Canis lupus familiaris: one gene and its partner. The protein of the gene in region 1 purifies or fractionates together with the protein of each later gene. This does not show direct contact. Links are inferred from orthologs where the notes say so. Each region holds a gene or a part of one and is shown on either strand. Other genes may lie near its edges.

What was found. Proteins that work in one complex are often made in the same cells at the same time.
Region 2: the proteins of SDHAF1 (region 1) and SDHB purify together in Homo sapiens (co-immunoprecipitation; 3 studies listed by BioGRID and IntAct, with this or other methods). This does not show direct contact. The link is inferred for Canis lupus familiaris from reciprocal best matches to the Homo sapiens genes SDHAF1 and SDHB.

Annotation. Positions count from the first base shown.
Region 1 is NC_049222.1:117,532,949-117,536,767, reverse strand, and holds SDHAF1 (succinate dehydrogenase assembly factor 1, mitochondrial), read left to right. Parts: upstream 1-1,569; 5' UTR 1,570-1,663; coding exon 1,664-2,020; 3' UTR 2,021-2,675; downstream 2,676-3,819. Other genes in the region: IgGFc-binding protein-like, read left to right, coding at 664-953, 1,089-1,167.
Region 2 is NC_049223.1:80,662,720-80,667,063, forward strand, and holds part of SDHB (succinate dehydrogenase [ubiquinone] iron-sulfur subunit, mitochondrial), read left to right. Parts: intron 1-694; coding exon 695-780; intron 781-3,293; coding exon 3,294-3,430; intron 3,431-4,067; coding exon 4,068-4,184; intron 4,185-4,344. UniProt on the Homo sapiens protein: Iron-sulfur protein (IP) subunit of the succinate dehydrogenase complex (mitochondrial respiratory chain complex II), responsible for transferring electrons from succinate to ubiquinone (coenzyme Q).

The DNA.
Region 1 (3,819 bases):
CAATATACTGTCACACATTATCTTTTTTTTTTTTTTTTAATTTATTTATTCATTTGAGACCCAGAGAGAGAGAGAGAGAGAGGCAGAGACACAGGCAGAGGGAGAAGCAGGCTCCATGCACCGGAAGCCCGACGTGGGATTCGATCCCGGGTCTCCAGGATCGCGCCCTGGGCCAAAGGCAGGCGCCAAACCGCTGCGCCACCCAGGGATCCCTACTGTCACACATTATCTTATAAATAACCAAATATTTGTTTACTTGGAATAGTGCCTGGCACACAGTATATGTAAACAGTTGTTAGACTGTGAAGACACAGGTGAGAGAGATGAGACAAGTTCCAGAGGCTTTTTGTTCTCTAAAGCTCCCTTTTAGGAAAGAGTTTATTATGGAAAATCTCAAGCATCGAAAGAGAAGAGAGAGGGGTGTTATGAAACGCTGTTACAGTTACAAATATTTTGCCATGTTTGCTTTCATCTTTTCCTCCCACTCTTTTTTGCTTTGTTCGCGCTGGAGGGTTTTAAAGCAAATCCCAGACCTTATTCCTCTAGCGAAGACCTGGATGAGCGTTTGTGATAGAGACGCGCAGCAGGATTCACCGCGGCTTCGGAGCCGCAGCCTGGGACTCAAGCCCTAATCCCCGCCCCTGATCCGCCTCCCCTCTGCAGGTGAACGGGCGACCCGCGCGGCTCCCAGCCCAAGTGTGCGCGGGCGTGGTCGCACGCTGGGCTGAGGGCTCCCGGGTTGTCATCGAGCGGCCCCCCACGCTGCGGGTGCTGGTGGGGCCCGAGGGTGCCGTGGCCTTACGGGCCTCTCCCGCGCTGCGAGGACGCCTCCGGGCGGCCTGCGGGGACTACAACGGAGTTGCAGCCGACGACCTGATGCTCCCAGGACGACTCCGGGGTGCCAGCCTAATCGACGTGTTCCAGGCGTGCCGGGCTCCGGGCTTCAACAACTGGTGAGGACCCTCCGTTCTCCTGCCCGGGTACCTGGCTCACATCGGCAGAGGGCGCGATCCACGTAACTCCCTGCGCCCCACGCTGCCTCGGGGCACTTGGGGGCTCACACCCTCGCTCTGGTGGTCTTCCCACAGCGCCGAGAAGCTGGTTACTCCAGCCGTGACCCAACACTTCACCGGCCGACGCCGTCCCTCTGAACGTCCCCATGGCTAGGACCTCCCGACGCACACCTGCCCTGGCGATGGGAACCCACGGACCTTCCCGAGATTGTTTGAATAAATAACTTAACGACCAAACCTGCTTGTGCCTGTATCTTCCCAGTGGCCCCCCCCCCCCCCGCGCCCCGGGGACGCAAAGTCCCAACCTCTAGTTCCCCGTCTCCCAGGGTCCGGGAGTGAGGTCGGGATCCTGGTCCCTTCCGACCCAAAATCTGACCCCAGCGCCTCGCCCCGCTCCCCCTCCGCGCAGTCGGCTCAAGGACACGGACTCCCCGCGGGGCAGGCCTGGGAACCAGCAGCCCCGCCCCTGAGCCGCAGCGTTGTGACGTAACTGCATCGACAGCCAATGGGACAACGAAGGAGGAGGCGGAAGTCTGGGAGTGCGCGGGCCGGAAGTGCCTGTTGCCGGGCTCGGCCGTTAGGCCCGGGGGCGTCGCTGGGCCGCTGCTCGCGGGGCGTCGCCTGCGGGCGCCCGCGGCCCCGCCGCTACCATGAGCCGGCCCAGCCGCCTGCAGAGGCAAGTTTTGAGCTTGTACCGCGAGCTGCTGCGCGCTGGGCGGGGGAAGCCGGGCGCCGAGGCGCGAGTGCGGGCCGAGTTCCGGCAGCACGCCTCGTTGCCACGCTCCGACGTGCTGCGGATCGAGTACCTGTACCGCCGCGGGCGGCGCCAGCTGCAGCTGCTACGCTCGGGCCACGCCAAGGCCATGGGTGCCTTCGTGCGCCCGCAGGGGCCACCCGAGGAGTCCAGCGGCGCGGGGGCCTCGGGAGCCCAGCCTGACGATGGTGGTGGTCTGAGAAGCCCCCTCGACAGCATGGGGTCACCAGAGACCCCTCCCGATGGGCGGTGACAGGCCGAGGAGCTCACCCGGTAGCACAGGGGAAGCGGGGGCCCTCCTGACTGCGTGGGGGGACCAGGGAACCCACTTGCTGGAAGGGGAGATGTCTTGAGAAGACCAGCTCGATGGATTGGGTGAATTGGAGAGCCCTCCTCGGGACGTGAGGTCCTAGAGACCCCGATGATGGATGCTGAGAGGTGCCTGACCTTGCCCGATCCATGATAACGGGTCGAACTCTCCCCGTGAGGGTTTGGGGCGGCTTGGTTGCCGGCTGGCTGAGCTGTGTCAAGCTGAGAGCTACTTAACCCTAAAGCATGGGGAACCAGGACGCCCGCCGTCAGACAGAAGACGCCCTTCTCCTGACCCCGGGCCCCCCTCTCTTGTGTTTAACTCTGAAAAGAGCAGACTTTTTGCCGAGAACTTTGAGAAGATACCCTGATGGATGGTGAGAAGCCCCGAATCCCCCTTTGGAAAACTTTCTTCCCATTAATTGAGGCAGTCTAGGACCTGGGAGGAAGGGGCTGGGGTATCTTAGCTCCTCTGATCAACTAATGACCCCTCAAGACCTGTACTCGATAGTTCTAATGGGGAACGCTGACTCCTGCACCCTTCTTCCAGGACTGTTGGACAAAAAGAATAAAATTGGGGATGTGATTACTTCCCTGTTGATGGTCTTAAAGATTTCACATGTTTGGGGATTGTTGGAAAGGGCCTCACACACCAGGAAGTGGCTCTCTGGGAGGGATAGGTGTGGAGAGCTGTCTCTTCCTCGCTGGAGCCCTCTAGACTAGAAAATTGGTTGAAGGAGCCTAGTTCTTGCTCCTGGGCAGATCCTTGGGACCTGCCTGGTTTGGGACCACCCTGGTTTGACCCCAAAGAAACCCCAGTTGACCCCCTAATAGAAGGTAGTGAGAGGGGAGAGAAAATGGTGGAGCTGAGGAGACCTGACTAGTAACCCCTGAGGCAGTACTGAGGACCTCAAACCTGGCTGAAGAGTCCAGCCTCAGATACACGCTAGGATCTTTGTTAGCAAGGCCCGGGGTGGGAGAGGAGAGATGGCCCCATAGACCCCAGGCATACCTCCTCCCCTATCCCTGTATTGATCTTCCCTAGACATTCTCTGGGATACTGCATTTTGCAGCACTGAACTGTATTTGCCACCATGTCGGTTACGTAAATGGAAAGCAGACGAATTCTTAGCAAACGCCATTGGTAAGAGGAGGGGAGCCCAGACCTCTGACCAATGAGAGGATAGACGGAAGAGAAACATGACTGCTCTAATCCCCATAGGGGAAGCAGGTGCACCAAGAGTTATGAAATGGAGTTGAAATTTGAAGAATTATAAGGAGTTTCCCAGATGGTAGGGTTAGGCTTCTAAGCAGGAGGACCAGTGTGGTCAAGGGCCTGGAGGAAAGAAAGGCAGGGTCCCAGCAGGCACCTGGAGTGCCCCCAGAGCATAGGCTGTGTGGCTTGCACACCTGGTTTCCACTACAGCTGTCTCGGCTTGCTCATCTCTCTTCAGCCTCAGTTTTTGTTTTTTTTTTCTTTTATTTATTATTTATGATAGTCACAGAGAGAGAGAGAGGCAGAGACACAGGCAGAGGGAGAAGCAGGCTCCAAGCACCGGGAGCCCGACGTGGGATTCGATCCTGGGTCTCCAGGATCGCGCCCTGGGCCAAAGGCAGGCGCCAAACCGCTGCGCCACCCAGGGATCCCAGGTTTTTTTTTTTTTTTCATCATGGTGTTCCTGTTAATCTGGGTCTGACTTCATCTCTCTCTGTCCCCCCCCTTTTTTTTTTTTAAGATTTTAT
Region 2 (4,344 bases), on another chromosome or scaffold:
AAATAGGTTTGTTGAGTGCTTGTCTGTGTACCAGATGCCATGAAAATCGCAGTTTTATTTCATCTTTGTAATAATCCTGTGACATAAATATTAGTTCCATTTTATAGGTCAAGAAAGAGGCTCAGAGAGCGAACGAGTCCATAGAGCTGCACTCTGCATGATGATGATCATGGTTAAACTAAATATGTGGCAGACACTCCCCCTTCATCTTCCCGTGTGTTAATTCACCTGCAGTAGTCCCATGAGATGTAGGTACTGCTCTCTGCTTTGTGGGTGAGGAGCTGAAGCCGGGGTTTGCCAAGAACCTAGGAAGCGTCCAAGCCAGGACTCAGACCAGGCTCCCTGCCACCAGGCCTGCGCTCCAGCTTCCAAGCCAGTGCTACTGCCCTTCCTCCCACCTGCTGCACCCACGCACATGGACACTCACAGCGCTTAGGAGTGGGGGACTGTCTCTACCCCTGTAGCTTTCCTTTTCCTAGAAATGTATATGCAGTGTGACTCCGCAGTGCTTAGAATGTGTAAGGATAACATAAAAACAGAAGTACAGAAAAAAATTCTGAGTGTGCCCTGAGAAAGCCAAATGGGTTAGAAGAGCAGCTGACATATGCAGATGTCTCAGGTCTTATTACAACAAAGGGCAGGAAGATTGAACATCCCGTCAATATGACCGGAGTGTTTTGTTGTTTTTGGTCAGATGTGGTCCTATGGTGTTGGATGCTTTAATCAAGATTAAGAATGAAATTGACTCTACCTTGACCTTCCGAAGATCATGCAGAGAAGGTAAGCATTTCCTTCCTTGTTAAACTTTAGACACTTAGGCTCTGGTTCCGCGGCCGGCCTGCCTGCCACAGCTGAGCTGGCGGTCTGCCAGGAGACCAGGTGTTGCACTTCCTTTCCTTGGGTAAATGCGCCTAAAACTCCCAAGTGTAGTACAGGTTCTGTACATTTCTGAGTTTTCTTCCCATCGGGAATCATATGTAGCCTGGTTCCTGCATCTGGCGTGAGCTGCCCACCCCTCAGGCATTAACTCCCATCTGCTAGCAGGACGCAGCCCATCTCTGCACCACTGCTGAGCTCATTCACTGGGGACAGCAGTGGAGTTTCTAGTCAGTGCTTGTGCACATTAACCCTTGTCCAGCAAGGGGGCACAGGTGTGCCGCTGCCAGCTCCCAGCATTACGAGTGTACACGTATATAAAGTATCTGCTCAGTAGGAATGTTCTAGGCAGGAACAGTCTCCCCACAGTAAGAGCTGTTATGCTAGAAAAATATAATTACTAATGAAAGTCTAACAGTGATACAGTTTTTTAATATAAATTTAAATAAAGTGAGTTGATACTAAGAAAACTCATAAATAGGGCAGCCCAGTGGAGCAGTGGTTTAGTGCTGCCTTCAGCCCAGGGCATGATCCTGGAGACCTGGGATCGAGTCCCACGTCCGGCTCCCTGCCTAGAGCCTGCTTCTCCCTCTGCCTATATCTCTTCCCCTCTCTCTCTCTCTCTTTCTGTGTGTTTCTCATGAATAAATAAATAAAATCTTAAAAAAAAAAGAAAAAGAAAACTCCTAGATAATCATTTAGCAGTCCTCAGACATGGGAAAAAAATCACAGAGGATTATCACAAGGGCTGACTGGTCCTGACGGCCGTAGAGCACAGTCAGTGGACCTTAGGCCCAGGGAGGTTAAGGGACTTCCAAAAAAACACATAGGTAGTTGGGGAGCCAGGCATCAGCCAGGGTTGTCAGATTCCAGAACCGCACTCAGGCGGTATGCTCTGCTGGCCAGGCTCAGAAAACCTGGGATAAAACCAAAACAGAGAGTAGGTTGGACCCCAACCAGTGATTGAAGCTTCTTCCTAAAATGACCTTCCATAAAAGGAAAAGTCACTATGGATATTGGCCCATTGCTTTTTGTCTTTGTTCGGTACATGTCAAGTATTCCAGCCTTCCTTCTAAGACATCTGCTTTGATTCAGCTAATCATACAGGATGGGATTTAGTGTACCAAATGCTGACAGATATTATAGTAGTTTGGCTGAGTCCTGCTGTTCAGGGAACGCTCTGTGGTAATTAAATACCAACTTTCCCCACGTAAATCCTGGCAACCTAGGAAATATAGATGCTTTTCAGTAACCTTTCTCCGTAAGACTTTGTCAGAGCCAAGAACATATGATGTGGCCCATCTGGACTAAAAAGTATGAGGCAGAGTGATACTAATTGCCACTCCTTTCTCTTCCCTTATCGTTTTTTAAGAGAATTTCCTGGGGAGCCTTTTTCAGAGAAGATTCATTGGATTTATTTTTTAAATTGCATACCATTTCTTATAAAAGCATACTTCTGGTTGGATGCCAGGCACACACAAATATATGGATAGCATTCAGTCTCCTGGGGAACTTCGCGGTATTTGCTAAAAACAGGTCTCTGTGTTGTCTTACACACTTACTAAGATTAGCAGGAGAAGAGAACGCGGTCTTACCAAAGTGATAACCCAGTACAGGTTTCACAACTAATCACATTTCTCTGGTCTGATGATCTTCAAGAAAACAGCTTCAGAGAAATGGGTTCAGATTGCATATTCCTCTTTAAACTCTAAAATATCTAGGAAATTTCCATACACAGCAAATGAGCCCGGGCAAAGAAAAGTGTCATCTTCAGGGTCCTTGGTCAGCACCTAACTTTTGCTTGGTTAGCTTTGCTTTGCTTTCACATTAGTTCATTCTTCTCCCTAGAAAGACAGTGCTCGGGCAGTTTATGTGGGTTTCATGGCCCCCACTGTGCTGCTAGTTTTGATGGAGACTATAGAGTAAGAGTCATATGTGGATAATCCATATCGAGGCCTCAGCCAGAAGATGGCCAAGACTGTTGATTTGCTTTTTGGGTTCTGTCTGTCAGAGTTTGAGTAGTTTGAGTTCAAATAACAGGCAGGGCTGCCTTTTTTTTTTTTTTTTTTTTTTTTTCTTCTTTTTTTTCTTTTTCTGAAAATGCATGAAGCATGGAGCTAGGGATTGGCGTGGCAACTCTGTGATGCCAACAATGCCCCAGGCCCTTTCTGTCTTCCAGTGCCGTCTGTAGTGTGCAGATTCCAGCCTCAGGGTTGCCTCATGGCTTTTTGGAACTGGTCATTAGATCTCCATCCCAGGCAGGAAGACAGCAGTGGGGCACCTCTGCCACGGGTGTACTCCATGTCAGTGCTGCTCATGATGGTAGGGGAATGAGGGAATGACATTCCAGAAAATGAGTCTGAAGCTGGACTTCCCGAGCCTGGGTACAGAAGCGTTGAATGCCTTCTCTGTCTCAGGCATCTGTGGCTCCTGTGCCATGAACATCAACGGAGGCAACACTCTGGCTTGCACCCGCCGGATCGACACCAACCTCAGCAAAGTCTCCAAAATCTACCCTCTGCCGCATATGTATGTGATAAAGGATCTGGTTCCTGTGAGTTTCTGCCTCCCCTCCCATCCCTCCCCTGCCCCCTCTCTCTCCCATCCCCTCTCTCTCTCCTGACTCTTCCCCACCCCACCTTTTTTTATTTTCAGGGAGAAGGGAAGAGGTGTGTGTGAGGGAAAGATGTGTTATCATTCTTTAGGGCAGGCTTTTTTTCCTGAGTTTAATTGAGGAATTTGAATGGTGGAAGATAAACACACCTGGAAGATTCTCCAGCCCCTCATTGGAGAGGATTGTTTGGGACTAACAGGGACTTTAGAGTTGGAACAGTCCCAGAATCAAAAATTTGGCCATAACTACAAAGAATTCATGTGGAAAATAGCAGTGGGGAAGGCAACAATTGTTACACAGTGTACTTCCACACTGTACTTCCACAGTGTCTGCCTCCCCACTCGTGAGCGCCTTCATGGACCAGGCCTCAGGAGTGGGTAGAGGAGAGATTTCCCAGCCACAATGAACACTGACCATTTCTCCTTCTGTCACTTGCACGGATCCACGCCAAAGAGAGTCCAACTTCTGCTGCTGTGCGATGGGGAAGTGGGCAGCATCCAAGAAATGGGGTGACTGAGAATGCTAGGGAGTGATAGTAGAATCTGACCCTTCTTTTCTTCTTCTTCCCCTTACTCAGGACTTGAGCAACTTCTATGCTCAGTATAAATCCATTGAACCTTATTTGAAGAAGAAGGATGAATCCCAAGAGGGCAAGCAGCAGTATCTGCAGTCCATAGAAGATCGTGAGAAACTGGTCATTAGTCCCCTTTTACTGTCTTGCTTTGAGGAATTCTGTGCAAAGATGCTTGGGAGAAGTGTGGCTTGGGGGGGGATGGGGTGGGGGAGTAGCTGCATGGGACAATGCCGACCATTAATGGAGTGTATGCTGGAAAGGAACCACAAGAGCATCTGTC